Ovis aries: one gene and its partners. The protein of the gene in region 1 purifies or fractionates together with the protein of each later gene. This does not show direct contact. Links are inferred from orthologs where the notes say so. Each region holds a gene or a part of one and is shown on either strand. Other genes may lie near its edges. The genes, in order: CRKL, GAB1, RAPGEF1, NEDD9 and GAB2.

Region 1 (5,830 bases):
TAGAGCAGAATCACAAATCTTTTTTACGTTATGGCCCCTTTTTAAAGCTTCTTGTCGTTTGTCCCCTTCATTTCCATTTCATTACCTCTTAGTGGCTAGGCTGTTTTTTTGGGGGAAAAAGTTTTTAAGCTTGTTTCAGCTGTGCTAAGGAAAAATAAGAAATTACTTAATTATTTTTATTGTGAAAAAATCCAAACATACACAAAAGTAGAATAATGTAATTAATAGCTCCCCCCGCCACACACACACACACACACACACACACACATTAGCAAAGCAAGCAAAATGGACTAACTTATAGGCAATAATTGTGTAACACTGAAATGAGTCCTGGACTTCAAAAGACCTCCCTGAGTGCCTCTTGCAAAGCATACAACCTATGATAACTTCTCTGAGATATAATTGTGTATCTTTGAGATGCTCACTAAACATTTTTTTTGTATTTAATTTTGTATCTATATGTAAACTTATGGTGATGATAATCAGTTTATGATGTAAGCAAGTCAAGCCATTAAGCTGTACACCTTAAACTTGTACAGTGCTGTATGTCAACTATCTCTCTATAAAACTGAAAGAAAAATTAATATTAGAAGATGAAAAAAATATGACAAGGAATGATACAGTCAACTGGTAAGTCAGGTTAGGATTGGAACTCAAGCCTTCCTCTTCAAATTCTGAGCTATTCAAATTGTGCCCGAAAGTAACACGACGCGAAAGTATTTGGAGGGAAGCTGAAAACCTGCTTTGCTGAGTCACAAAAGGCCCTAGGCCGTGACGATTCCCCTTGAGTTTACCCGGAAGGAACGTCAGCCATCACGCTGCGACAGTGGTCCCCAGCATCCTGGGCGCCAGGGACCCTTCCGTGGAAGACAGTTTTTCCTCGGGGCGGGGGATGGTTCAAGCGCATTCCTTTCACGCTGCACTTTCTTTCTGTTATTCTTACATCGGCTCCACCTCCCGTCATCAGGCACTGGGTCGCAGAAGCTGGGGACGCCTGCCCTACCTACAGTGCAGGACAGGCTCAGCCCAGCAACGAGATCGGCTCCCCAGGAGTCTAGAGCCGGGCTCCGATGCCCCTCTGGACAGGCGCCTCCACCGGCCGGCGGGGGCGGGGGCGGGGGGTCCCCGACAGTCATTCATTCCGCCCAGGTCTGAGATCAGCGTAGGGCGGGGCGAAGAAGCGCCAGGCCCAGGGCTGAACAAGGCGCACCAAACCCCGCTCCCGTGAAACGGACGGTCCGGCGCGGACGGGGGTGCGGCCAGGGGCCGGGGCTTCTGCGGCGGGGGTCCTGGGGGGGCCAAGGCGGCAAGGGCTCCGAGAGGACGCGGGAGCTTCGCCAGCCACCGCCTGAGCACCCGCGGCGGTCGGCCCCGCCACCCCCTAACCTGGCCGGCCCGGCTGCGCACGGCCCGGGGCCGCGCCCGGGGGCCGGGCCTGGCCCGCGCCGCCCGCTTTGTTCCCGGAGCGGGCTCCAGAAGCGCCGCCTCCCCGCAGCGCCCCCCGGCGGGCCCGGGAGGGAGCGCGGCGCCGCGCGCGGGCGGCGCACGCCCGCCCTCGCGATTGGCCGCGCGGCGTGACGTCACGGGGCGGCGCCGGCGGCCGCCGGGAGCGGGCGCGCGCGCGTGCGCAGTCGCGGGGCGCGGGGGGGGGCGGGGGAGGTGGCCGCCGCTGCGCCCGCGGCCGCCATTTTGTTGCTGTGGCTCTCGGGAGCGGGGCAGGGCTCGGCGGCCCCGGCGGCGCGGCGCTCCCGGGCGGTGTGCGGCTCGGCGCGGCCGCGGGGCTCGGTGCGGAGCGGCGGGGACGCGGGGCCGGCCGCGCGCCGGGGCCAGGGCTGAGCGGAGGCGCCGCGAGCCGCCCTCGCCGCGCTCGGCCGGGCCCGCGCCCGGAGCCGGCTGGGCCCGCGCGGCGGCCCCGGAGCAGGCCGGCGGCCCGGAGGATGTTGCGGGCCCGCGGCCGCGAGGAAGGCGCGGGCGCGGGCCTGTAGGCGCGCGGTGAGCCCGAGGCCCGGCCGGCGCGCAGCCGCCGCGGGCGGGGCGCCCCCAGCGCCGGCGAGAGCGGCCCGCCCGGCCCCCCGCGCGCCGCCCGCCATGTCCTCCGCCAGGTTCGACTCCTCGGACCGCTCGGCCTGGTACATGGGGCCCGTGTCCCGCCAGGAGGCGCAGACGCGGCTCCAGGGCCAGCGCCACGGCGTGTTCCTCGTCCGCGACTCGTCCACCTGCCCGGGGGACTACGTGCTGTCCGTGTCCGAGAACTCGCGGGTGTCCCACTACATCATCAACTCGCTGCCCAACCGCCGCTTCAAGATCGGGGACCAGGAGTTCGAGCACCTGCCGGCGCTGCTGGAGTTCTACAAGATCCACTACCTGGACACCACCACGCTCATCGAGCCGGCGCCCAGGTGCGCGGGGCCGCGGGGCTCGGCGCGGCGGCGCCGGCCGGGGGCGCCGTGGGTGAGGGCGGTGCGTCGGGCCCGGCAGCTCGCGCTGCGGGCGCCCAGTTGGAAAAGGGGCGCTTTCTGCCCTTCGTCGCGTCCTCGGTGCAAATTACCTGCTGAAGCAGGGCGTTGCTCCCGGTCTTGCAGCCGGTTTGGGGCCACGGGTTGAGACTCTGAAGCTAGTCTTCGGCTCCCCGCCCCGCGGGCCCCTCCCTGCCCCCCGCCCTCCCGAGTTTGCACCGCTTTCAGGGTCTCTGAGCTCCGGGGTTGGACCTCCCGGACGGCAGCCTTTGGAAACTCTAGAGATGGAAATGCCTTCGCAGGTAGAAACGAAATGCCTTTACCTGTGAAATATCAGGGCCATATATTGATAGCCTGGTGCCAGGGTTGAAATAAGCCAGGCGTCTGTTTTATAACACATTAACTGAAAATACTGTAGAAGAGGTCGGCTTGAACGAGGAATTTTTTTTTTTTAATAGATTTCCCCCAAGCTGGGCCTTTAATGGACTGGAAATCCATTTGGTTAAATTCCAAGGTGGAATGAGTCTAGACTGTTACTAAGAGGAAATTTTGAATGACACTCCACTGAAGATTCTACGCTAGTTGAATTTCAGATGTCCTTTTTGTACTGAGTTGCATGACTTAGTATCTATTTTAAAATAACCCAGAGTGACACTGAGCATTGGGCATCCCTTTTCATTTGGGCTTCATTATTGGCCTTAATATTTTGCTCGAGGCTTCTTTTGTGCAGATTATGCAAAACTTGAGCTAAAGAGATGGCGTAGGGTTTTAAAAATAAAAGGTATTGATCTTTTCAAGCGTCTGCTTAGAAAGGACAGGGTGCTAATACAGGTTTTTTTCAGGGTGAGATGGTTCTGACTTGATAGATCTGCTGACAAGATAGTAGTCTCAGCTCTGAACATGAGAAGCTGTCGTATTAAAGGGGGACGCACTGGATGCTTCTGTGGACTAGAGGTAGAGAAGAATGAAGCCCTCGCGGTGTAATGACCAGGAGGTTAACTGCTGAGCTAAATGGACTTTAAAAGCTGGGAGACAGGGATTATAAATCAGATACTGCGTAACAAAGGCCTAGCCGCGGCGAGTCTGACTGGCGAGGCCTCCAGGTCCCCGAAGAGCCTGGGAGCTAGAGGCAGCGCTCAGCACAGTGTGATTCCAGCGTGAGAGGCTGGGGGCTCTCGGCTCCCGCAGTGGTGAGGCTTCAGCTGCGTTCGCGTAACTGGCTCTTCTGGCTTGTGAAGGTGACTGAGCGCTCTCTCGGGCACTGACTGGGCCTCGCCGCGCGCCTCAGTGCAGCCGTGAGGGAGGGACTCGAGCCCCTCTGGGTGGAGAGAAAGGGGCGCGGCCCTGGCTTCCCAGTGCCCGCAGCCGCCACCCCCAGCTTTCCCTTCGTGCTGCTTCCCAGATGCCCGTCCTCACCCTCTCCCGCCGCCTCCAGGGAGCCCGCGCTACACGCCCACTCGCGCCGGAGGACCTTTGCTCGGGCCCCACCCGCCCCTCACCGGGCGCGCCTCCCTGCCCTTGGGGCCTTTCCCTGGCGCTGCCCCCGCCTCCAGTTGAGCTTTGCTGTTTCTCCGCCCGCTGCCCCGGGCGTCCCGCTGCCGTCGAGTTTTCCTTCCCCTGGTGTCTCCGAGGGCTGCCGCTGCCCCAGTTGAATGAGATCCTGGCAGGATTCACTTGGTCACACTGAACCTGGATCGCCTCTCCCGGAGCCAGAAACCCGCGGATCTGTGTGATGCGCTTATTACTCAGCTAGTGTAGAAGACAAGGCCGGGCCAGCTTTGGCCAAAGGCAAAAATCAGGGCCGTGTGCTTCCACGCCCCAGGCAGGATGGATGAAGTGGTTAGGCTCTTTCAGGCCTCAGAACCGAGCTCCTGAAGCCAGAGCTTCTGCGCTTTGGCTAATAGTTATTTTTTGGGGTTCATTTTGCTCAGTAAAAAGTGACGACTTACTGGCTTCCTCAGAATTTAAGGACTGATCTCTTTTTTTTGTTGGGGGAGTAGCTTTTTTTTTTTGGCCGTGCAGCGTGTGGGAGCCAAAGTCCCTGGCCAGGGACCAAAACTGAGCCCTTGGCAGTGGCAGCTGGGGTCTCAACCTCTGCACCACAGGGACGCCCCCTTAACTTCACAGTGTACGTCCTTGTCCAGACATTACAGGAGAGTTAATCCCAGGGATGCGTACTGGGAGAGAGGGGTGACGTGCTTTCTCCATCATGGGCCTTAGATGTCAGTGAGGAGACAGGCTGGAAAGTAGAGATTTAAGTAAAAGACAGCATTGGTCGGTGTGAAGAAAGTCCACGTGGGCAGGGGGTCTAGCAGGCGGGGCTGACCTGAGGCAGGAGGGTCAGAGCAGGGCTGAAGCCAAGAGGGCGCCCAGGGTGGGGAGCCAGCCGCGCCAGGGCCGTGGCTCTGCAGAGGCAGCTTGAATCGGCTGCTCAGAGGAAGGAAGTGGGGTGCCAGGGGGGAGTTTGCAGTCAGGAAGTGACCTGGGCCATTATTGCAATCCAGGTCACGGTGATGACGATTGGTGAGCTGTCCGTCCGTCCGTGCGTCCATCTGTAGTAGAGACGTTCCGCAGGCTGACTGGCAGGGCTGACGGACGGCTGTGGTTTGAAGACGGTTGCTGATGGGAGGGGAACGGAGAGGAGGAAGGAAGAGGCAGATGACTTGGTGTGTTTGCAGCTGCCTGTCCTCTGGGTTGTCTTGTTAATTTTGCCTTTTGAGTTGCACTATTCAGTCCTGTCTTGGATCTTACATTTAAGGTGTGTCAGTGGCTTCTGGTTTTCCAATGACAGATTTTAAAGGATTCTTTTTCCGCACACGGGTGCAGCTTGTAGGCTGAAGCTTGTTGCATAAACAGACACTTCACCTCCATCTTACTTGAGTGTGAACACTTCCAAGATTCTGTTAAGTTCTGTTCAGTGTTAGGTAAGTGCTCCTGGGTTTTTCTTTCCGTTTTAATAGAGGCTGTTTCCAGTTTAACAGCAGGGTCCAGTTTCTGAGTGGGTTCAGTTTAGAGACAGTACATTTTCCCGGGTCTAGAAAATTGGAAGTGTGCTTTGCGTAGGTCGCTTCTCTTATGAAGTTTCCGGTTCCAGCTCGTGTAGCTGTGTGATGACTGGGAGGAGGGTCGTGAGGAGCAAAGATGGGAAAAACAGAGGCGAGTTGGCTCATAGAGGCACCTCCCCACCCCCACCCCCCTGTTTTGTTGCTCGATAGATATTGCTGAGAGCACGCTCTGGTGGTACAGATCTGATGTTGCTCAGCACTCCCTGTCAGGCTCTTCTGGAGCTTCCTGGATGCTGACTTTAAAGACCGCGTCCTCTGATACAGGCAGCAGCTGTGCGAGGGCCAGAAAGGATGCCCAACCTCACCTGA
Region 2 (5,998 bases), about 58 Mb from region 1:
GAGGGATTCCTAGATGGCGCAGTGGACAAGAATCCACCTATCAGTGTAGGAGACACGGGTTCAATCCCTCATCCGGGAAGATCCCACATACCACAGAACAACTAAGCCCAGGCACCACTACCATTGAGCCTGTGCTCTGGACCCTAAGAGTCTCAACTATAAGCCGATGTGCTGCAACTACAGAAGCCTGTGCCCCTCGAGCCCGTGTTCTGCAAGAAGCCACCACAGGAAGAAGCCCCCGCCCCACAACTGGGGAGCTGCCCCAACACTCTTCAAGAAGAGAAAGCCCCTGCAGCAGCGAAGACCCAGCAAGGCCCAAAATACACAAACCAATACAATTATTTTTATCACATAGCCGGAGAATCTGCTCACTAGTCTTTTTCTTACTATCTTTTATGCTACTGTCACACTGTTTAGGAAATTCAAGAAAAACTTCCATAGCAGATGGACATACTAATATGTAAAAACAATGCTGCTGACTAATAAAAATTAAAAAAGCAAACATAAAATGGAGTTGTAAGTAGAATGCATTGGGGCCATAACTTGAGATGACTTTGGAGATAAAACTAAAACAATATTTTGTCACTTAAAAGCCCTGATGGATTCTCTTAATCAATGCTTGAACTACTCTTATAAATATTGGAAAACAGTGAGACAACTATCAAAGTCCTCTGGGCCAAGTGTTCCCCCCCCTCCAAATCAATGCCCAAAAACTCCCTGAAGTCTCCCTTAGCAATTATGGTACCAGGAAGTCAAGATATCTTATCACAGAGAATTTGTTCATTCAAAACCATTATCAAGCAACATTTTGCCTATTGGGTGGTCAACAATGTTTCCTTTCATCCAGAAAATAAAGATTTTACATGAAAACCAAACTCAGCAGAGGAGATGCATGTATATATATATGCCATATCTTTGAGGGGTAAAGATGTATTAGCCAAAACTATCTATATTGAATATCAGGCCAAACAGCAATCATCTGGAAACGTGAGAATCTTCTGGGCAATCACCTTGACAGTGCAAATTAAGACAAGCCTCAATTTAGCTTATAAGACTCCAGTAACTCTCTTGGACCCCTCAATTTTGGCAGCCACCCTCCCCATAGTCTTCCTGGGCTGTATCCATGGACTGATTAGTGTGGAAAGAAAACCCTAGTGTCCTGCCTCTCTCAGCTGTTAGGTATATTCAGCCCTCAGTCGACAACAATTGAGGGAGCCCACTGTTCCTCTGACGTATCCTATGATTTCCGTCTACATGAGCCTGTTCCTGAAAACATCTATGAAATGGCCATAGGGCTCAACTTGGGCACACAATTAGAAAGCACGTGGAGTTGCTGGCTTCCTTTTCTTTTTTTTAAATTAATTAATTTATTTTAATTGGAGGCTAATTACTTTACAATATTGTGGTGGTTTTTGCCACACATTGACATGGATATGGCTTCCTTTTCTACATATGCTTGTCCTGTGTTTCTTCAGCACTGCACCTCTGATCCACAGTCCACTCTTCCTTGCGTGTTATATCCACGGACTCACAGAAAGTCATAAACCTGAAAGGTCCTATCCACATGACCCAGCCTCAGCACAGCTTAAACTTGATAAGAGGCGTTCACCTTTTAAAGACCAGGCAGGCAGGCAGGCAGATCTGGGTTCAAATCCTGCTTCTGGCACACTCTGGTTCCGTAGATTGTGTTCTCATTTAAGACAGATAATAACTGCCTCATAAAACTGTTGTAATGATCAGATGAAATATTAAAATTCTTAAATTGAGAATTTCTATTTTCTTGGTCCAGTTAAGATGTAATTGTTTGGGCTGATTTTTTGTAGTACATTAAATTGCAAGCCCAAGAGACAAGGCTTTTTTTCCTGCTGGGTTTTTTTTTTTGTTTTTGTTTTTTTTTAATTTTATGGTCCCTAGTCTAGCGTGTGGCATCTTTTGAGAGAGCCATAAACCAAACATGTGAAAGAAAGCATTAAATCTCTATTACCACTACCTATTCCAGCCAATGTAGTGTTCTTTAGTTTCCCCAAGAATCAATCATTTCCTAAACAGTACCTTCTCAAAACAAATACATCAAACCACACCCTCTCCCCACATACATACACACAGAACTCCCAACTGAAAAACACACTGCCTCTCACCCCAACTTTTAGAATAAAGTCACCATATTTACCAGAATACTTGGGCAAACTGTGATAGATGGAGAGAGGGAATTTGGAAGAATTTTAAAAATCTCTGAAGAACATCCCTAGGATTTGTGGCATCAAATCCTTAAAGGAGAACTACTTGCCTATAGCAAATTCTGGCAGCAAGTAAACCAGAAACTCACTGGTGAGTTGTGGGCTAAGTTAAATATTGCACTTCACTCCGTTCTATGCAAGCAAACTGACTAACAGGGTTACCTCGAGCTCTCGCATTGGGTGTAGACATCCTTTCACAAGAAACAGGGTCCATTATTACTCTCCCCGTTAGCAAATTTATATTTAAGGGGGCACATACTGTGCTTTCGAGACATACTTTACTAGACAAATATTTGCTCCATAAGCGAGGGCAAAGGTGTCATTTCTTTCCTTTGCTGTGGGCAGCGACAGAAGAATCAATGGGGGAGAAGGGGATAAGATCCCAGACTCCCCAAAGAGGACACAGACTTCCGCTGCAGTAACGTTGGTTCTTTCAAGGAATACTTCCCCTAACGGCTAAAACGGCTTAACACATAATCAGCATCTTGTATCAATTACACAAATACCACGAAGCAACTGTGGTGGCCTGGGAAAGGACCATAACACACAGAACTCCTAACTGGCCTTCGCTGTCCCCTCCCACAGGGTTTGACAGCGTGTCCAAGGCGCCCGAACACCAGCCATCAGGCTCCCCCCAGCGCCCTCCTCTCGCAGCAAACTGCCAAGGCTCTCGGGCCAAACTCCAACGTCCCTCGATTCAAAACCGAGAAAGTGTGAACCCCGCTAAGCAAACGGTAGGGCGCGTAATAACTTTTTTTTTTCTTTTCCGTGGAGCGGATTGGAGATGCTCGGCTCTAACGCCAACTTCCCAGGTCTCCCGTCCGCTTTCCGAAACCATCCCGTGGGGAAGGCGGGAGGGAGGGCGGTCCAAAGAGAGGGCTGGTGAGTTTTAATACCTCCGTGGTTTTCTCAGTGCGGGAAATTTACTACACAGCAGCCCCTGAGAATTCGGTGCAGGTCTAACGAAAGGAAAATGCTCTCCCCCTCAACCCCTGCTAAAAGGAACAATAAAAAACACTCAGCAGGCGCTCAGCTGGCCATACCAGGCCTTCCTAAGGGCCGATGGAGAAAGAAATTTCTCCAGTCTGCAATCTGGAGAAAGAAAGATGCCTGGCCAAGCGGAGGCCCGGGCATGAGTGTCCAGCCTGGGTCCCCAGCCTGGCAGGGAAGGGGCCTACAGGGAAGGGATGGGGACTAAAGAGGAGCAGTCGGCACGCGAGCCGCCCAGGGAGGGTAACGGGGGCCGAGCTCTACTTACATAACGCTTTAACTTTTTCTCCGGGGGGGACTTGCGGAGCCATCCCGAGCAGACCACTTCGCCGCCGCTCATGGTGCGAGCCTTTAGGGCTGCGGGCCCGGCGCGCTCCCGACACCTTCGACGCCGGACGCCCGTGCAGCTGCTGGGACCTCGCTCTCCCGCGGCGCACCCCAGGCGGACGGGGCGGGCCGGCTCCGCGGCGCTCTGGCTCTTGGCGTTCGAGTTTCTTCCCCGCAGGCAGGTCCGCGGACGTGAGTAGAAGCGGGCACAGCCGCCGAGGCCGACACCTCGGGGCAGGGGCCGCGGCCGGGCCGAAGATGCCCAGGCCTTCCTTCAGTGCACCCGCCCGGCCGCCAGGCGCGCCGTCCCGCCGGCCGCCTCCTCTGCGCTCGGGCTCCACGGGACTCTGCCCCGGCGCGGAGCCCGAGCCTCGGCCCCCTGCGCTCCGCCCCTTCGGGATGGGACCTCCCAGAGCGCACTCCGAGACAGACACGACGCTGCACGCGCGCACACACAGTCTCACACGCTCATACACACACAATGCCCCCGCGCAGTGCCCACTCCGACTGGCCAGCTCTAGGTTTTACTGCGCTTGGCGCTATCCCCTCCTTCCTCCTTCTGGAGAGAGGGTGGGTCACTTCCCCGAGGCGCCCGGACCGCCGCAAGGAATGGGAAAGCCGCGAGGGTCCCGTGGTCAGCGGGCGCAGGGTTGAGGGTTGGTCCCGGGCCACGGAGGGAGCCGCCGGCTCGGCGTCGCTGGACAGAGCGCAGGTCCCGCCGAAGGGTGGGTCCGTGCTGGCCGCCGCCGCAAGAGAGAGAAAGCAGAGGGCGGCAGAAGAAGGAGGCGCTGGGCTGCTTGGCTGCGGGGACCAAGCCTACCGTCCCGTCCCCTAGCGCTGCTCCTGCGCCGCCTCCCCCACCCCAGGGCGCGCGGCAGGTTCTGGGCGGCCCGGCCCCCGGCCCCGATCCCTCCCTCTCCCGGCCTCCCGGCTCCCTCTTCCTCTCTTTCCTCCTCCCCTTCCCACGTTCGGGCCGGCTCCGGTTTCTGCCCAGACTTTCTTTGAAACTCCGCCGGAGCGCTTCCAGCCAAAACAACAAGGGCCAGGGAGGAGGAGACGGGCGGAGGGAGGGAGCGAGCGAGGGAGGGCGCGGGAGTCCGAGAGGCACCCTGGGATCTGTAGTTCGGGACGCTGGAGAGGGGTCCTCGGCGCCCCCGGCGGCCGTGGATCCCGGAGCCCCCGGCGGGCTGGTCGCCAAGGAAGGCAGCGAAGCCTCGCCGAGGGTAACGCCGCGCCATCTCGGGTTCCCGGGCGACCGAGGAACATTCGAAGGTTCAAGTCTGTGGATTGCCATCTTGGCTCAGCCGAGTGTCAGTTCGGAGTTTGTTCTGTGCGGGAGATCGGGAGTTGGGGGCGGGGGAGAGGGGGGCGGGTACTTGACAGCGTGGAAAGCGAAACAGCCTGGAGGAAGACCGCGCGCCCTGGAGAGTCTGCGATCCCGGGGTTTCTGCCCGCAAGACTGAAAGGCGGAGACCAGGAGGGCGAGGTCGCTGGGAGCGCGCCAAGGCGACCAGCCTGCAGGGGAGGTCAGAAGGGGACCCTTCCGGACTGATGTGTGCTGGTCCCCGGAGCAGCCTTGCCTGAGTGGTGGGAGCGCTTAGTGGACCCAAAGGATTCAGTTGAATCTATCTCTGGGGACATTTTGAAGCCTTACACTCCCTCCGTTTGTTGCCAGTTTCTTCCACTTGCCTTGGCTTTTATTTAAAATCAACTCTTGGGGTGTTGGACCAGAAAAGGGAACCTTCACTGGATGTCCTAATGCTATTTGTTTTCTTTTGTGTGTTTTACAATGACTATGATACCTGGCCCTGAGATTAACACGATCCTGTAAGAGAAATATCTTTTCCAATGTATTTATGAGAAACAAAGCCCCTAGACAGATTTTGGAACGTAGTGTAAATAATCAGATAAGAGTGCCAAACGTTTCTGGAAAAAATAACCTCAGGCTTGTTCTTGTTAATACAACATTCATATTCAGTTCCTCTCGAGTTTGAAAATGTTATACAATTGTAGTAGGAAATTAGGTGCTGGGGTGGTGACAAAGAAAGGTCCCTGCACTCAGAGCGGTGACATTTCTAGATAGTTAACAGGGTCAACGCAAGTACAGATTGTGATAAATGTGCCCTGGGAGAAACTGGAAGAATAATAAGGGTGGAACTAGGTCAGATACTAGGGGAGAAGTCTTCCTTAAAGAGGCAGCTAGCCAGAGATGTGAAAGATGTTGTAAAGATGTTGTCTTGTGAAAAGATCAAAGGGATAACCATAAGGAGGACTGAGAGAGAAAAAACAACCCAGGGGGCTCATTGTTTTTCTTAAATGTTAGAATACAAGTGAGTGTAATTTTTATGGCAGCTAATAAAGCAAAGCAATTTTTATGTGAACTCGGGTTTTACCACAAGCCATCCACAAGCCATCCATATGAAAATAAATCACTAAATTTGTTT
Region 3 (5,391 bases), on another chromosome or scaffold:
GAATTAGTGGAATGTTCTCCTGCCTTGGCAGAGGCAAGTGTACACACTTCTCTGTCTTCCCTTGCCCTGCTCGTAAAGAGCACGAGCGTGAGTGTGGGGCTTCCAAGGACTCCCCCTGATGCTGCACCCCCAGGGTAAACTGCCTCCCCCATCCCTCTGCAGGTGACAGGATGCAGGGGGCTGCTCCCTCTTCTGATTGCGTCAGCTCTTGGCTCTGCACCGCGTCTGTAATCACCAGCCAGGTAGCTGTTCCTTCAGCGTGTGGGGGGTCCTGTTTAACTTGTAGATGGTGGTAAACGGCCAAGGGTGACCTTCTCCTCTCTTCTCCCAGTCCTTGATTGTGGGTGACCGCCACCCTCCTCATCTCTCCAGGAATAGGCATCGACTGTGACAGAGTGGGGTGACACTGACTCCAATTATGTGGAGTATGCCTGTTTTCTCTTTTAATTGGTATTTCAGAATTACTATATGTTCACTGTAGCAAATCAAGAAAAAGCAGAGAGGCAAAAGCAAGAAAATAAGGGGTGTTTCGTAGCCATCTTTTCTTCTATACATGTGTTCTTGGTTGTGTTTTGTTTCCAAAACATACTGTGTATACACCAGTGTGCCATCTGGTGGGTTCTTTTCCATTTAACATTGTATTGTCTTTTCACACTATCATATATTCTTGTTCTGAGTTTTCTTAATAGTAGTATAATGGTCCATTGTTTGATTCTATCATAATTTATGTAATCAGTACCTAGCTCAGTTCAGTCACTCAGTCGTATCCGACTCTTTGCGACCCCATGAACTGCAGCACACCAGGCCTCCCTGTCCATCACCAGCTCCCGGAGTTCACCCAAACCCATGTCCATTGAGTCGGTGATGCCATCCAACCATCTCATCCTCGGTCGTCCCCTTTTCCTCCTGCCCTCAATCTTTCCCATCATCAGGGTCTTTTCAAATGAGTCAGCTCTTCGCAGCAGGTGGCCAGAGTATTGGAGCTTCAGCTTCAACATCAGTCCTTCCAATGAACACCCAGGACTGATCTCCCTTAGGATGGACTGGTTGGATCTCCTTGCACTCCAAGGGACTGTCAAGAGTCTTCAACACCACAGTTCAAAAACATCAATCCTTCTGCGCTCAGCTTTCTTTATAGTCCAACTCTCATATCTATACATGACTACTGGAAAACCATAGCCTTGACTAGACGGACCTTTGTTGACAAAGTAATGTCTCTGCCTTTTAATATGCTGTCTAGGTTGGTCATAACTTTCCTTCCAAGGAGTAAGTGTCTTTTAATTTCATGGCTGCAGTCACCATCTGCAGTGATTTTGGAGCCCCCCAAAATAAAGTCAGGCACTGTTTCCACCATTTCCCCATCTATTTGCCATGAAGTGATGGGACCAGATGCCATGATCTTCGTTTTCTGAATGTTGAGCTTTAAGCCAACTTTTTCACTCTCCTCTTTCACTTTCATCAAGAGGCTCTTTAATTCTTCTTCACTTTCTGCCATAAGGGTGGTGTCATCCGCATATCTGAGATTATTGATATTTCTCCCAGAAATCTTGATTCTAGCTTGTGCTTCTTCTAGTCCAGTGTTTCTCTTGATCTACTCTGCATGTAAGTTAAATAAGCAGAGTGACAATATACAGCCTTGACGTACTCCTTTTCCTATTTGGAACCAGTCTGTTGTTCCATGTCCAGTTCTAACTGTTGCTTCCTGACCTGTATCAGTACCTAGTAGTGAATATTTAATTCTGGAATATTGACTAGTCTGATTTTATCTGTGACATAGAATGCTACAGTGACCATTCTTTGTGGCTTAATTTTTTTACATATCCATGTTATTTTCCTTGGGTTAAATTGTTATAAAATATATGCAGATATTTAAGGCTTTTGATGTGAACTGACAAGTGGTCATCTTTTAGAAAGACTCCCCAAATCATTGCTTCCCTCTATCATGGAAGTCTGAAAGTTTCTGCTTTTATTACCATCAGAACTAGAGAACTTCTAATGATTATTGACCATTGGTTTTTACATTTGTGAATTTCTTTGGTATTTTTTTTGGTGTGTTCACCTTTTTTCTAGTTTTTGTGTTTTTTCAAAGAACGCTTGTTCCATGAAGGAAATTAATACCATGAAAGGTATTAAGTCTTTGCCTTAGCATACTTGTTGAGGTTGGTGGGAAGGGTGTTTTTAGCTGGAGAAGCTTTGCAATCTGATCTAGGGGCACACTGCCATGGTGTCCCGCTTTCTCCCACTGCTGCCTCCTCTGTAATTTTAGAAATAGTTGTTCATGATGAAAGCCTGACCTTCTCATGAGACACAGGAAGGTCCTACCCAGGAGTGCATCAGCAGGAGAATGGATGAAGGAATTGGTTTATCCATACACTGGAATATAACTCAGCAACAGCAAGGATCACACAGAGACACAGCCATTCACACTGAGCAAAAGAAGACAGATGAACAGAGACAGAGAGTGGACTAGTGGCTGTGAGGGGCCCCTAGAGACGCAAAGCTTCTTTTGAAGTAACAATGAGCCCCGAAGTTGACTGTGTTGATGGTGCCCAACACTGTGGACAGACTGAAGACCACTGGATTGCATGCTTTGAATGGCTGGATTCTATGGCATAAAGCTGTTCAGAAAAAGAAGATAGACACAAAAGAGCGCATATTGTGTGGTTCCACTTATATCAAGTCCTGGGCAGAAGTGATCCAAGAAACAGAAGTGGGAAAGCAGTCAGTGGGGGAGGGGCAGATAGACTAGAGAGAGTGCTGGAAACATTTTGTTTGTTTGTTTTTTAATTATTTATTTGGCTGTGCTGGGTCTTAGTTGCGGCATGTGGGATCCAGTTCCCTGACCAGGGATCAGACCCTGATCCCCTGCATTGGGAGCACAGAGTCTTAGCCACTAGACCACCAGGGAAGTCTCTCATTCTGTATTTTTTGAGTGGGCCTTATATGGTATATGCAGCTATCAAAACTCTTCAAAGTCAGGGGAAATGCATTAGCATTGAAAGAAAACCAAGTAAACCCTAATTTTTTTTTTTCTCCTATTAAAAAAAACTTTTTTTTGAAAGTCATTTCTCTGCTAGGTGATAAGCCTTGAACTTTCTGTGCGGTGACAAAGATCCCCACCCTTCATCTCTGGATACCCACCGATGCTGCACCCACAGACAGCTCACTCTGGGAAACCACCTTACCCCAGACCTCAAGCTTGATCGTTAGTAGGCAGCGTCCTGGCTTCAGAGAATTCAGAGCAGGTCCTTCTCCACAAACCAACTGGGAGTCACTGCCAGGAGTTTGTGTGATGAAGTTAGTCATTCTGAGACAGTGGGCTGGTCATTTCTCCCTCCCAAGAGGAAGTATCTTTATGCATGCGAAACCTCTCTGCGCGCTGTGGAGGTGTTTTGGGCGGGTAGGGCATTGTTTTGGGAAGTCATGAAGGTTACCTGAGTCAAACAATACTCGCCCATAGGGTGAGTGGGGACTCCGGGTGGTGGAGGGCAGACAGCTGGCCACCTTGTCAGGATATTCAGCGTGAGGAGCGCTCCTCGTGTCTCACCTCGTTTCTCTTGTGTGGGGGTAGGAGCTGGTCAGACTCACCATCGAGAAGCAGGGGCATCCGTCTCCAACAAGTCCCGTGAAACCCAGCTCCCCAGCCTGCAAACCTGACAGGTGAGTGCTGACTAAGCCCTCCAGGGGTTGCGGTCTCGGTCGGTGGACACTTGAGAAAGAAGGGAGCCCCTGCCAGGCAGACCGTGTCCTGTGAGGCCTGTGGTCCCTTTTCAGTGGCCTCTGGGTAAGAGCCCAGATTACCGTGAAGTGTGCGTAGCTCGCACCCATCTTGAATGGTTGTCTGGTCTCAACACGGTCTTCTCTCAGGGCACCGTGTGATACGCAGGGTGACCCCACCTGCACTCTGCTTGGCCCGCTTCCTCCCGTAATGAGGAACAGCTTTGACAGATTGAGTCTTTAGGGGTTTGGCTTGAGAGCATTACTGAGGGTGATGTGGACAGTTTAAGGCCTTGCAATAATTTCTACTCGCAGCCCCTAGTGAAAAAAATGACACCTTCATTTGGGGCCATTTTCCAGCATCATGCAGTCCAGAGATCCCTCTCATAGATGAGGAGACCAAGGTGCAGACTCAGGGGCCATGGCCAAGCTTCTGTGGGTGATCGAACTGGACTTGAAACCCCATCTTTGCCATGGAGCCCTGGGCATAGTGTTGGCTCTGTGTCCTGGGCCCCTTGGACACTTCCCTGCCCCGGTCACATCCTGACACTCTCAGGGTCTGTGCTTACCCTGGGGCCTTCTGTAACCCCGAGTTCTCCTCAACCCTCCAGCCAGTCTGAGCTCCCCCTGACGGATCGAGAGATGGAGATACTAAACAAGACAACCGGCCTGTCACAGTCAACCGAGGGGCTCCCAGACTCTATGGATGAAGAGGTTGCACCCCCCAAGCCCCCTTTACCTGGCATTAGGGTGGTTGATAACAGGTACCTTCTATTTTCCTAGCTCTCTCATCTATTTCTGTTGTAATTTCACAAATGGATGGTGCCAGCCAAAAAGAAGATGGTGCCATTAGGGGAAGAACTTACTCTTCAGGCACGTTGGTGGTTTGACCTTCCTCGGGACGCTGCCTCCAGAGGACAGGAGTCTGGCCCGGTGCTGGCCCCTCGCCCTCCCCTGCCCCCTCGCCCTCCCCTGCCCCCTCGCCCTGAGAACTCCCAGCCGCTGGCTTTTAGTCCTAGCCAAGCAGAACCTGGTACCGTTTGTCATGAAAGGAAAGAGCAGGGACTTTCAGACGCTAGGCTTTTGGCAGAAGGGGAGTGGGGTGGGAGCTGAAAGGGTGGAAAGTAGGACCAGTGTCTAACAATGAAGAGCCTCCCACCCCACACCCTGGCGTCTGTATAAAGGCTTTTGTTCGGGTTGTCTGGTCTGATGGGCTCCTTGCTCTGTTTCAGTCCTCCACCAGCACTGCCCCCGAAGAAGAGACAGTCGGCTCCATCCCCCACCCGTGTGGCCGTCGTGGCCCCCATGAGTCGAGCCACCAGTGGCTCCAGTTTGCCTGTTGGAATTAATAGGCAGGTAATTAGCCCCATCCAGAAAGGCAGAGGTGGACTTCGGGTCTGGTGCATCGGTTCCTAAACTGAAAGAAGCCCAGTGGTCTTAAGTCCCTGTCTTTGGTCACAGGGAGGAGCTCTCTCCCTGGGCAGCCCCCGTTCCTGAGTGGTCCTTCCCTCTGCAGGCTGTGGTGGGGTTCCCTCCCAGGGTGGGGAGACGGGGCCCAGCCCAGGGCCTCCCTCGATCAGAGCACTCACTCCGAGCGCCTGTAGAGGCCCCTTGTCTCGGAGGCGCTGCGTACGTGGTGTTCACTGCCTGCAGCCAGTTTGTGCACGTCCCAGT
Region 4 (5,391 bases), on another chromosome or scaffold:
TAAAGCCTTCATTGAATTTGCTACAATCTTGCTTCTGTTTCATGTTTGATTGTTTGTTTTTTCTTATCTGACAGGCACGTAGGAATCTTAGTTCCCTGACCAGGGACAGAACCTGCATGCACCCTTGCATTGGAAGGCGAAGCCTTAACCATTGGATCACCAAGGAAGTGCCCTCACCTTTTTTTTTTTTTTTTTTTAGTATGATGCCTTTCTAAATACCCTAGCTCCACTATTTTTACCCACCGCCTCAGGCATTGTTATAGGAACTACTAGAAGGACAAGAGGCTGGCTCTTCTCTGAATTCACTAGTCTCTGTGTTAAGTGAGTCGACCTTGAGGCTGATGGCTCTCCAGAACACGGTGGCTGGCTTCACCCACTCCCCCTTCCTTGCGGCCTCGACTTCTCGTGCATTCATGCAGCCAGCCGTGTGGTGTCATGGCCAGTGGGGTCATAATCGAGCTTTTAGTGAAAGGAGAGTCCTTGCTGCTTCACTATGCTTGTGCAAAGTATGGTGCCTTGTACTACTCAAGGGAGAAAGAGAAAAGACTGGACTGTGGAGTGCAGAGCCCACGTGTAAAAGCAGGGCTATCAGAAAGATGGGAACACTTGACGACGCGGTATAACCTGGCACAACTCGGGAACCTGTAAGGGCTATGGATCAACAGTACTTGGCATGGGGTGGGTGTTCAAGAAGGTTTTACTGACCAATGAATGGAAAAATGACTTCCCCTGTCAAAAAAAACGTGCAAGCTAGAGTATTCAGACATTCTTACTTCTTGGAAGATTTACTTACTTCTTCGACGGCTTCTTGGAAGCTCCAAGTTCTTATTTTAGGAGCACATAGACACATATTTTGATTGCAATGGAAAAAATTAAATAAGAAGAGAAATCCAGCTGTTGTTCACTCACCTTTTTACTTAGGTGGGGACCGTTAGCGCCCCCAGCGCCTCTCTGCCCTGAGGGTGGCACTTGATACACATCTTGTTCCTGGGTCCCATGGCCGGTGGGGACTTGGTAAATTCCCTGATTTTGGTAGGAAGGCGGCACTTGGTAGATGGTGTCTCGAGGGGCGCCCTGTGGGTTTGGTATTTGATAGAGCTTCTGTTGGCCAAAGGGCGGTGGCCCCAGTCCCGAAGTGGGCAGGTCCTGATTGGAGGAGGTCTCCTGCACTGGGCCAATCAGAAGCTTCACCCGGTTGCCGGGGACAATGCCCTGCCGGCCGTGTAAGGAGCAGAGCCACCATCCCTCCAGTCCTCCTGTGTTCTGCTCAATGACAGTCAGGATGTCTCCCTTGCGGAAAGCCAGCTCCTCGGCACACTCCGGGACATTGTCGTACAAGGCTCGGGCCATAAGATTCTAGGCAGGAAAGAAGAGAGGGGGAACGCAGGTTAGCAGATGAACTGAGTCCCTGAAACACCTAAGCCCGTGCTCTGATGGAGAGGCACACTTCCTGGAAAGAGGAGGATCCAAACAATGGGCTGTAAGGAGAAAAACAGATGGTGCAGACAAAAGACAGATCCATACGTACTGTGTCTGCCACCAATGACATCAGACCGCCTCCTCGGAAAAGCTCGGAACACCACCGAGTGCTGTGTTCCAACAGCAGAGGCTGTGCCAAGGGAATTACGAGGAGCTCGGCAAAGGAGCTGGAGAGCAGTTCACTCTACAAAGCATTTTTCTTCCTTGCTCCAATCCAGCCGAAGGAAGAAAAATATATTCCAAGATATTCAAATGGACTGCAACAGACATTTTTTAAAAGTATATTGGAGGTAAAGAGAGTCAAAGAACATTCCCCCCAGACAAACAGCACAAATGGCGTTTATATCCAGTATTAAAATGGAAACAGAAGTACACTGATCTCTGCCTTGGCAGGCCTTAACAATTCATACTCTCAGTTGATCAAGAGGTCTTCGGATACAGGGAGACTCTACAAGCGGGGGATGTTTCCATGATAATCCTGTGCAGAGTGCAGTGACGGTGGTCCACACCTCCAGACCCGAGCATGCGGAGCTCCAAAGAGGTTACCCCACGTGGGCAGGCAGAGGCCGCCCCGTCCCCTCTGGTACTTTGTTCCCACCTTTCCTGAGGGCCCCTCCTCACCCCGCCACTTTATTTCCTCCTCCTTGAATCTCACCATTCACATCGGAAAGGCTCTGCCTTCCCCTTTCATGGGCCCCAGACACTTTCTCTCTTTGTGTGAAGGCCTGTCTGGCACTTTCAGTACGGAGCAGCCAGCCAAAGCAGGCATTCGGCGGGGAGCGGGTAGGCAGGACATGCCGACGTTCTTGGAAGTCTTTCAAAGGCTGGGCGATTTCATTTCTTGGCATCAGTCACGTCTCGAGGCATGAGGGTAGCCTTCCCCACCCCGATGCCGGCTCCTTCCCAGCACACACAGAGCCCTGGAACGTTGCAAATTCATCTCCAGCCATCGGAAAACTCAAGACGGTCTCTTCAGTGCTTCACTAGACAGTTGGGATGCCCTCGATGTTGGGGTGATGATGATCGGCTGCGGGAGAAAAGACTGCCGATTGGATGGAGTGTGCTCTGATGACATACCCGTGGAATTTGGGGCTGTTGTTGTCTGGATTTCTGCCCCCGTGTTTTCTTCTCTAAAAATGTGAATTTGATCTTTCAGCCTCCTGCTTTTCAGCCCTTCATCACTGACATGCACGCACCATCTCCCCCTGTACTATGCCCCATAACCACAGGTCCTGTGCTGTGGGTCTGTCCCCTGCTCAGTGGTTGGGGAGGTTCCTACTTTTACTCTGTTAACCAAGCTCCTCTGAGTACAGTGCAACAGCTTAACAGGAAAGGAGAGGAGGAAAGGAGATGAAGCCCTGGAATTCAGTGCCCAGGAAGCCTGGTGATGCTCTTTAAGAATAAGACTGCAGTCCTTGTTCTTGACGGTTTTCTGATCCAGGAAGCCTGTAATGTAGACAGGAGGGCAGAAAAGGGAAGTTGAAGGATACTGAGGGGTTTGTGTTCCAGGTGAAAGCTGTACTTGGTATTTATATTCTAGGAAGCTTCGGGTTCCTTCTAACAAAGGTTCACACACAAAAAAATAAAAACACACAGCACTGTAACATGATGTGAGGAACCATTTAAGGATGAGTCCTAACCCGAAAATCTCTTACGTTTCTCTTCTCCCATCTTGTGGGTGATCTGTCCTTGAAAGAAAATTCATTGAGTTGAAGAAGACAAGACTCTTTTCCTCTGTATCTAAATGATGGGAAGGAAATTCAGTCAGTTCAGTTCAGTTCAGTCGCTCAGTCGTGTCCAACTCTTTGTGACCCCATGGACCACAGCATGCCAGGCCTTCCTGTCCATCACCAACTCCCGGAGTTTACTCAGACTCATGTCCATTGAGTTGGTGACGCCATCCAACCATCTCATCCTCTGTTGTCCCCTTCTCCTCTGGACTTCAATCTCTCCCAGCATCAGGGTCTTTTCAAATGAGTCATCTCTTCACATCAGGTGGCCAAAGCTTCAACATCAGTCCTTCCAATGAACATTCAGGACTGATCTCCTTTAGGATGGACTGGTTGGATCTCCTTGCAGTCCAAGGGACTCTGAAGAGTCTTCTCCAACACCACAGTTCAAAAGCATCAATTCTTCTGTGCTCAGCTTTCTTTATAGCCCAGCTCTCACATCCATACGTGACTCCACCAAAACTGTCCTGAGGTGACAGAGCAGGGAGAAGGCTGACCACTCTGGACTCTGTCCCTTTCTCCGAGGCCCATGCAAAGACTGGGAATGGCTGGCAAGGAGGCCCTAATGCCTCCTGACATCAGGAGTGACAGGGTTGGAACCAGATCTATGGGAGTTGAGGGTCCAGAGCTTGATACTGGTGATCAAGAAGGGAAAGAAAAGAAACAGAACAGGGACTTCCCCAGTGGTCCAGTGGATAAGACTCTCCCTTCCAATGCAGGCGGCCTGGTTTCCATTTCTGACTGGGCAACTAAGGTCCCCTATGTTGCTCGTGGCCAAAAATCAAAAACAGAAACAGAGGAGACTAGAAGCGTGAAAGACCACAAGCCTTATTTGCATACATGAGCTCCAGGCATCTGGAGCTGGGCACGGCTGTGGAGCTCTGGGAGGCACTGAAGTGGAGCCACGGGCCACAACCAGCTCGAGGCGGCTAGCAATCCCCGCATGAAGGCTAGTCTAGATGGTCTCTGCCTCTTGCCCCCATGACCCTCCACCACCACCAGCTAAGCCGCACGTTCAGGTTTCTAGACAGGCTGCCAGAGCCGCTTCTCGTGGAAAACCCAGGGAGCCGCTTGTGGACGCACCGTGGGTGTCTTCTGACTAGCTCCTCCTCCGTGCCCACAGAGACTGGGATTCAGGGAGTCCGGTGAGGCTCCCCTGCCAGCCTGGTGCCTCAACACTGAGAGTTCTTCTCAGCCTCGGCCTAACGGGAATAAGTTATTTACCACCTGCATGAGCTACAGGGAGCCAGCAGCCTCACACACAGAGGGGTTACAGCTCCTTCAGAGGACCTTCAGAGGACACTTGGACCCGGCCTCCCTGTTCCACAGATGAGGAAACACATCTGGCAGAGGGGACAGTTAATCATCTGCCCAAGGCCACACCTCGGTGGAGTCAGAGATGGGAACAGAACTGTAGTCTCTTGGCCTTCCAGGCCACCTTAGTTCTAGTTCATACTGTTCTGCAAACTGGGCTCCTTTCCATTTTACAGTAAAGCTTTGAAGACGACGATTCTTTTTGTCATGTCTAGGGAATAAGCCAATTCTTGGGGTTTGGGGTCTTGGCTGTGTGACTTGGGCAGATTACTCCCTTCAACCTTTGCACCAGAACTTCCTCATCTGTAAAATGAGAATGAGGATAATATCCCTATGTCATGGATTTGCAGTGAGGATTAAATGAGTTCATTCAAGTCAGTCCTTGAACATAGTGGGAGACTTGGGAAGCAGTGATGACTGTTTAATGTGTTGATGGTGCTTTGATGGTAAACTTCCTAGTAGGTTACCTCCTCAGTTCACAATCAAGGGTTGGTGATACTATTATATATACTTTATACATCTGATGTTTCTCTTGCTCATAATTACACTTCAAGAGGATCATATCTTGAAGCAGTATTTCTCTGAATTAAGAATGAGTTCTGGTCACTGCAACCTCTTGTTGAGTATTTGCCTACAAACAACAAAAGTGAAATCATTGGTTGATTCAAGAGACCTTCTGAGACAAAGTAAAATAATAAAAGTTTCCCAGGTGACTCAGTGGTAAAGAACCTGCCTGCCAATGCAGGAGACAGGGGTTTAATCCCTGGGTCAGGAAGATCCCCTGGAGAAGGAAACAGTATTCCATTCCAGCATTCTTGCCTGGAAAACCCCACGGACAGAAGAGTCTGGTGGGTTACAGTCCACGGGG
Region 5 (5,391 bases), on another chromosome or scaffold:
CCAGGCAGAGGGAACAGCCAGAGCAGAGACCCTGAGGCAGGAGTGTGTGGCCAGCGTGGCTCAAGCAGAATGGGCGCGGCAGAGAGGGGCAGGGCTGAGGGGAGAGCTGTGGGTGAGGCGGTGTCGCCCAGTGCTCACTGGCCACTGCGGGGACTTCAGCTTCTGCTCTGAGTGCAGTGGAAAGCCAGAGGGCACTTAATGCAGAGAAGTGCTATGCTCTGATTGACACCAGCTTCCACGCTGGGAACAGATTGCCAGATGGAAGCATGGAAGCAGGCAGGCGGCCGAACGGTGGACCTGACCAAGTGCGTAACAGTGGAGGTGTGGAGGAGTGACCGGGTTGTAAATGTGTTTTGAAACTGTTTGGACCAACAGGATTTGCTCTTGGGTTTGGAAGTTGATGACTGACATCCAGATTTTTGGCCTGAGCAGCTGGAAGGTTGGAGCTGCTCGTAACTGAGATGGGAAACATTGCGGGAAGAACAGACTCGGAGGATGGGAAGAGCTCGGTTTAAAGGAAGTTTGTGATGCCAGGGCTTCCCAGATGGCTCAGTGGTTAAGAATCTGCCTTGCAAAGCAGGGAGCGCGGGTTCGAGCCTTGGTTAGGTAGCTACGATCCCATGTGCCGTGGAGCAGCCCAGCCTGAGCGGTGTTGCCCCTGAGCCCTCGCGCACAACTAGAGAGTCCATGCATCTTGATGAAAGATGCCATGTGACACAGCAAAGCTTCCTCATGCCCCAGCTAAGACCTGATGCAGCCAGACAAATAAAATATGTTTTTAAAGAAAGATTTGAGATGCCTATTAGTGAGGAGCAGGTATGAGACTCTGGAGTTCTATAGATGGGTTTGGGCTGGAGCTATAAATTTGCGAATTACAGCAGTTAGATGACTTTTAAAGCTGTGAAATGAAATAAAATAACCTAAGAAGAGGATATAGAAAGAGGAGAGTCTAAGAACTGAGCATGGGGGCGTTCTAGCCTTTAGAAGTCAGTGAGACAAGGAGCAACCAGAACTGGAAGCTGAAAAAGAGAAGCTGGGAGGTAGGAAAATTGAGAGTGAGCACTGAAGCCAAATGAGGAAAATGCTTCAAAGAGAATGGAATAGTAAACTTTCTCAGATGTTGCTGAGAGATCAAGTAAAATCCAAATGTTGCTTTGTGTTGAAGTCTTTAAGACCTCTGTTGAAGGAGATGGGGGTTGGGGGCAGCCTGCTTGTATTGCTTCCAAGAAAAGAATGGGAGGAGAGGAAACAACGATTAACACTGTAGAAATCTCTGAGGTTTTTCTGTAAAGAGGAGCAGAAAACTGGGCCATAGTTGGAAGGGAATGTGGGATCAAGTCAAACTTTTCTTTTTTTTTTTTTCTGAGATGGGACAAGTTGGTGTCCTGATGGGAATGATCCTAGGAGGGAGGGAAGATGCCATGTGCTGTCCCCATGTCGTGAGAGGGGGTGATGCTCTGGCGGAAGAAAGTGGGCCTTAGACTGGATGAACCATCCATGCTGCACAGTAATAAACTGCTTTGCTATAATGCAGGCAGACTGGTAAATACGGGGATGGAACATGTGTAGATTCTCTTCTGCTTGCCTGTATAGTCTCATACCAAAGAGTGGAGGTGCTACAGCTTTAAATAGGGCAAGGTTCAGATGATTGCCAAGAGCAACAGAAAATCAGGGACCAGACAAATGTAGTAGACTGTTGGAGCAGGAGGGCTCACTTGAGCTTAAAGTGAGAGGAGCCAGCGTGGTTGTGTGATTTTCTCCAGCTCTGAACAGCTGAGTGGAAACAGGCAGAGTAGGCTAAGCATTAGACTTAGTCAAAGGTTATGGTTTCCTAGATAAAGAGAGGAAGAGAAGCAAGAGAATGATTATAATGATGGATCACAGGAACAAGGCAGGTGGAAGGAAGTGAGGATGGAGACAGAAGGGGAGAGTGCAAGGTGCCAGGATTCATGGAGTGAAGTCCCAGTGAGGTCTAAATAACCGCGATGATCCTTGGCATCAGTGGCGCTTTAGGACAGAGGAGCTGGAAGGCTGCAGTCCATGGGGTCGCTGAGGGTCAGACATGACTGAGTGGCTTCACTTTCACTTTTCGCTTTCATGCATTGGAGAAGAAAAAGGCAACCTACTCCAGTGTTCTTGCCTGGAGAATCCCGGGGACGGCGGAGCCTGGTGGGCTGCCGTCTGAAGAAAAAGGCAACCTACTCCAGTGTTCTTGCCTGGAGAATCCTGGGAACGGCGGAGCCTGGTGGGCTGCCGTCTATGGGGTCGCACAGAGTCGGACAGGACTGAAGCAACTTAGCAGCAGGGTTGCATCATAGTGCTTTGTGTGCAGTATAAACCCTATAAGGTAGGTAGGACAGTTGGTGATGGTATTCTATTCTGTAGATAAAGCAAGCTCCAAAGAGGTAAATAACTTTATGTGAAAATCACACAGCTAGTCGGTGGTGAAGCACAGACTCCACCCGAGGCTCTGTTTTATTTGTGATATCTTTTTACCACTTTGTGTGATGTCTGCTCACAGATTACTCGGTCTCATTGAAGACAGGGAATGTAGACAACATAAGGAAATGTGTAACTGAGTGTTAAATTCTATAATATGGCATGACATAAGGAGTTTATTCATTCAGTAATGTATATTGAGTGCTTATTATGTACAGGGCTGTATTATAAATACTAGGGATATAGTATTATCCACTATATATAGTGACTGAGATGGGGGAAATTCTGAAGTTTTGTGCTTCAGGGAGGTTTTAGAAGGGTTTCTGTGTGGTTCCTCCAAGGCATCATGATTGGGTAAAAAGCACCAGGTACTGAAAGCTTGGAAACTTTTTTCTCCGCTACTTGCTGTATGTGACGTTGTGGCTTCAACTCAGTCTGTCTTAGTGGGGGACCCCATCCGTAAACTGAGATGTTATGGCTTTGCAAGTTCCACCCTGACTAAAAGTCCTGTGAGTTTGAGGCTGTATTCTAGCTTAATGGAATAATTGTGTAAAGTGTGTTAGTCCTCATCTGACTTCTTGAAATGACGTATCTCGTTTCATAGTGATAAGACCCTGTTTCAGTAATGAAATGCTGCACTAATGTGTATGCTAAAGTCATCCGCTGTTTTTTAAACTCTGGGAAAGCACAAAAAGGAGACAGAGGCCACGCTCGGCTGGCAGGTGCAGCAGTCCCCACCCTTAGCCTGGTGATATCTGAGGACCTGTGAAAAGCTTTGAATTGACTCATGACTTTCCCCCTGCTCTCACTCCTTCCCGTTCAGGCCTGGAAGAAACGCTGGTTTATCCTGCGGAGCGGCCGGATGAGTGGTGACCCCGACGTCCTGGAATACTACAAGAATGATCACTCCAAGAAGCCCCTGCGCATCATCAACCTGAACTTCTGCGAGCAGGTGGATGCAGGCCTGACCTTCAACAAGAAGGAGCTGCAGGACAGTTTCGTGTTCGACATCAAGACCAGCGAGCGCACCTTCTACCTGGTGGCCGAGACGGAGGAGGACATGAATAAGTGGGTCCAGAGCATCTGCCAGATCTGCGGCTTCAACCAGGCAGAAGAGAGCACAGGTACGAGACGCTTCTCAGCAGGGACCAGGTGCCTCCTGGCAGTGGCTGGGCCCCTGGGGCCAAGGGGACGGCCTTCAGACTCCTTGAACAGCAGGGCAGGCTTTAGCTAAAGGCTGTCCTCTGAGGTGGGGGAGAAGTAGGCAGAGGGGAGGAGTCTGAAGGGCTTGGCCACAGGGTGGAGGTCCTCCTAGCCCTGAGTCTGCTCATGTGGAAAGCAGGCATGTTGGGGTTATGATGAAGCTCGAGGTGCTGCTGGTATTTCTTCAGGTACCTCCGCGCCACCCCGTGTCTCAGGCCTGCCCTTTCTCCCCTCAGCTCTCCAGCTCTCTGTGCCTGGTTAACCTGTCACCCACACACGGGCGGCTTGCACCTTGCTCTCTTCTTTGATGCATCCTCTGTCCACTCCTGTTTCAGAACAACGTGCATAGTTACACTAGCCGCTTTTCTGGTAAGGGGAGGTGTGGGATTCTTTGTGAGTACTGTTGATGCACAATCCACTGTTCTTTATATTTCCCTGGAAACGGACACATGAGAAGGGGGAGATTCTGACTTGTGTTCAGATTTTGTTAGCCTTCACAGAAAGAGTAGCTCACCATTTTTAAGTGAGGCTTCAGCTGCAGAAATGCTCTTTGCCATTTGTTTGGGCTCATCCACAACTCTAGGATGATTGAGGAGTAGGGTTCTTTTTGTGTGTGTGGCAGATGGAAAGCCTAAGTTAGTAGTTTCCTAAACCTGGTTACATATCAGAATTAAAGAGGAACATTTTTTAAATGTTGATGCTAGGGATCCATATCACATCAGTTAGCTAAGAATGTCAGGGGTGGGACCTAGGCATCAGTCTTTTAAAAGCTTCACACCAAGTGGCAAGGGTCTGGGGCTCAGCATCCATTTTCTGTAAATAATTGAAGGCCACATACAATCTCTGATTCCTATACCTGTTTTGTAAACTTCTTAGAACCCTTTAAAAACATGAAAACTGTTTCTAGCTCATCAGCAACGTCAGCCTCATCTGGGAACCCATTAGAAATGAAGATTCTTAAGCCCCACCCCAGACTTAGTGAATCAGAAACTCTGGAGGTGTTTTAACCAGCCCGCCAGGTAATCTGATGCATGGTTAAGTTTGAGAACCACTGATTCAGACTCTTACTATCAGAGTGGAGTTTATGGACGAGCAGCATCAACCTCTCCTGGGAACTTGTTACGAAGACAGAAGACTTCTACTCACTCAGACTTACAGGATCAGAATCTGCATATTTTTTTCAGTTTCTTATTCTGAAATAATGTTGAGCTTACAGAAGAGGTGCAGAAATTGTACAGCAAGTTCCCATGTACCTTTCATCCAGCTTTCCCTAACCTTAACATCTTTCTTAACCAGAGTATACTTGTCAAAATGTTGATTGGTACAAGACAGTCAGTTGCAGTGTATTGGGATTTCACTTGTTTTCCACCAGTGTCTTTATTCTGTTCAGGATTCAGTCCAGGATAGCATATTAGATTTGGTGGTTCTGCCTCTAGGGCCTCCAATCTGGGATGCCAGTTTCTTAGTCTCTTGTTTTTCTTTGACCTTGACACTTTTAAGGCATACTGGCTAGATATTTTGTAGAATCTCCCTCAGTTTGAATTTGTATGATGTTTTTTCATGATCAGATTAAGGTTTGGCGGAGACTACCACAGAGGTAGTGTGCTTTTCTCTGCACGTTGTATCAGGAGACACATGGTATCAATATACCTTATTACTGGTCGTGTTGCCTTCATCACTTGGTTAAGATGGCATCTGACACCTTCTTCCCCTGTAAAGCTGCTACCTATGCTTTCACAGTTAATAAAT

What was found.
Region 2: the proteins of CRKL (region 1) and GAB1 purify together in Homo sapiens (affinity purification with western blotting; 3 studies listed by BioGRID and IntAct, with this or other methods). This does not show direct contact. The link is inferred for Ovis aries from reciprocal best matches to the Homo sapiens genes CRKL and GAB1.
Region 3: the proteins of CRKL (region 1) and RAPGEF1 purify together in Homo sapiens (affinity purification with western blotting; 16 studies listed by BioGRID and IntAct, with this or other methods). This does not show direct contact. The link is inferred for Ovis aries from reciprocal best matches to the Homo sapiens genes CRKL and RAPGEF1.
Region 4: the proteins of CRKL (region 1) and NEDD9 purify together in Homo sapiens (affinity purification with western blotting; 4 studies listed by BioGRID). This does not show direct contact. The link is inferred for Ovis aries from reciprocal best matches to the Homo sapiens genes CRKL and NEDD9.
Region 5: the proteins of CRKL (region 1) and GAB2 purify together in Homo sapiens (affinity purification with western blotting; 3 studies listed by BioGRID). This does not show direct contact. The link is inferred for Ovis aries from reciprocal best matches to the Homo sapiens genes CRKL and GAB2.

The regions. Positions count from the first base shown.
Region 1 is NC_056070.1:72,321,962-72,327,791, forward strand, and holds the start of CRKL (crk-like protein), read left to right. Parts: upstream 1-1,686; 5' UTR 1,687-2,088; coding exon 2,089-2,399; intron 2,400-5,830. UniProt on the Homo sapiens protein: May mediate the transduction of intracellular signals.
Region 2 is NC_056070.1:14,613,637-14,619,634, forward strand, and holds the start of GAB1 (GRB2-associated-binding protein 1), read right to left. Parts: upstream 3,904-5,998; 5' UTR 3,568-3,903; coding exon 3,496-3,567; intron 1-3,495. UniProt on the Homo sapiens protein: Adapter protein that plays a role in intracellular signaling cascades triggered by activated receptor-type kinases. Plays a role in FGFR1 signaling. Probably involved in signaling by the epidermal growth factor receptor (EGFR) and the insulin receptor (INSR).
Region 3 is NC_056056.1:5,175,927-5,181,317, forward strand, and holds part of RAPGEF1 (rap guanine nucleotide exchange factor 1), read left to right. Parts: intron 1-3,571; coding exon 3,572-3,660; intron 3,661-4,328; coding exon 4,329-4,481; intron 4,482-4,949; coding exon 4,950-5,073; intron 5,074-5,391. UniProt on the Homo sapiens protein: Guanine nucleotide-releasing protein that binds to SH3 domain of CRK and GRB2/ASH. Transduces signals from CRK to activate RAS. Involved in cell branching and adhesion mediated by BCAR1-CRK-RAPGEF1 signaling and activation of RAP1.
Region 4 is NC_056073.1:44,300,163-44,305,553, reverse strand, and holds part of NEDD9 (enhancer of filamentation 1), read right to left. Parts: exon of another isoform or gene 2,138-5,391; coding exon of another isoform or gene 2,135-2,137; intron 1,357-2,134; coding exon 910-1,356; intron 1-909. UniProt on the Homo sapiens protein: Scaffolding protein which plays a central coordinating role for tyrosine-kinase-based signaling related to cell adhesion. As a focal adhesion protein, plays a role in embryonic fibroblast migration.
Region 5 is NC_056074.1:15,344,206-15,349,596, forward strand, and holds part of GAB2 (GRB2-associated-binding protein 2), read left to right. Parts: intron 1-3,262; coding exon 3,263-3,563; intron 3,564-5,391. UniProt on the Homo sapiens protein: Adapter protein which acts downstream of several membrane receptors including cytokine, antigen, hormone, cell matrix and growth factor receptors to regulate multiple signaling pathways.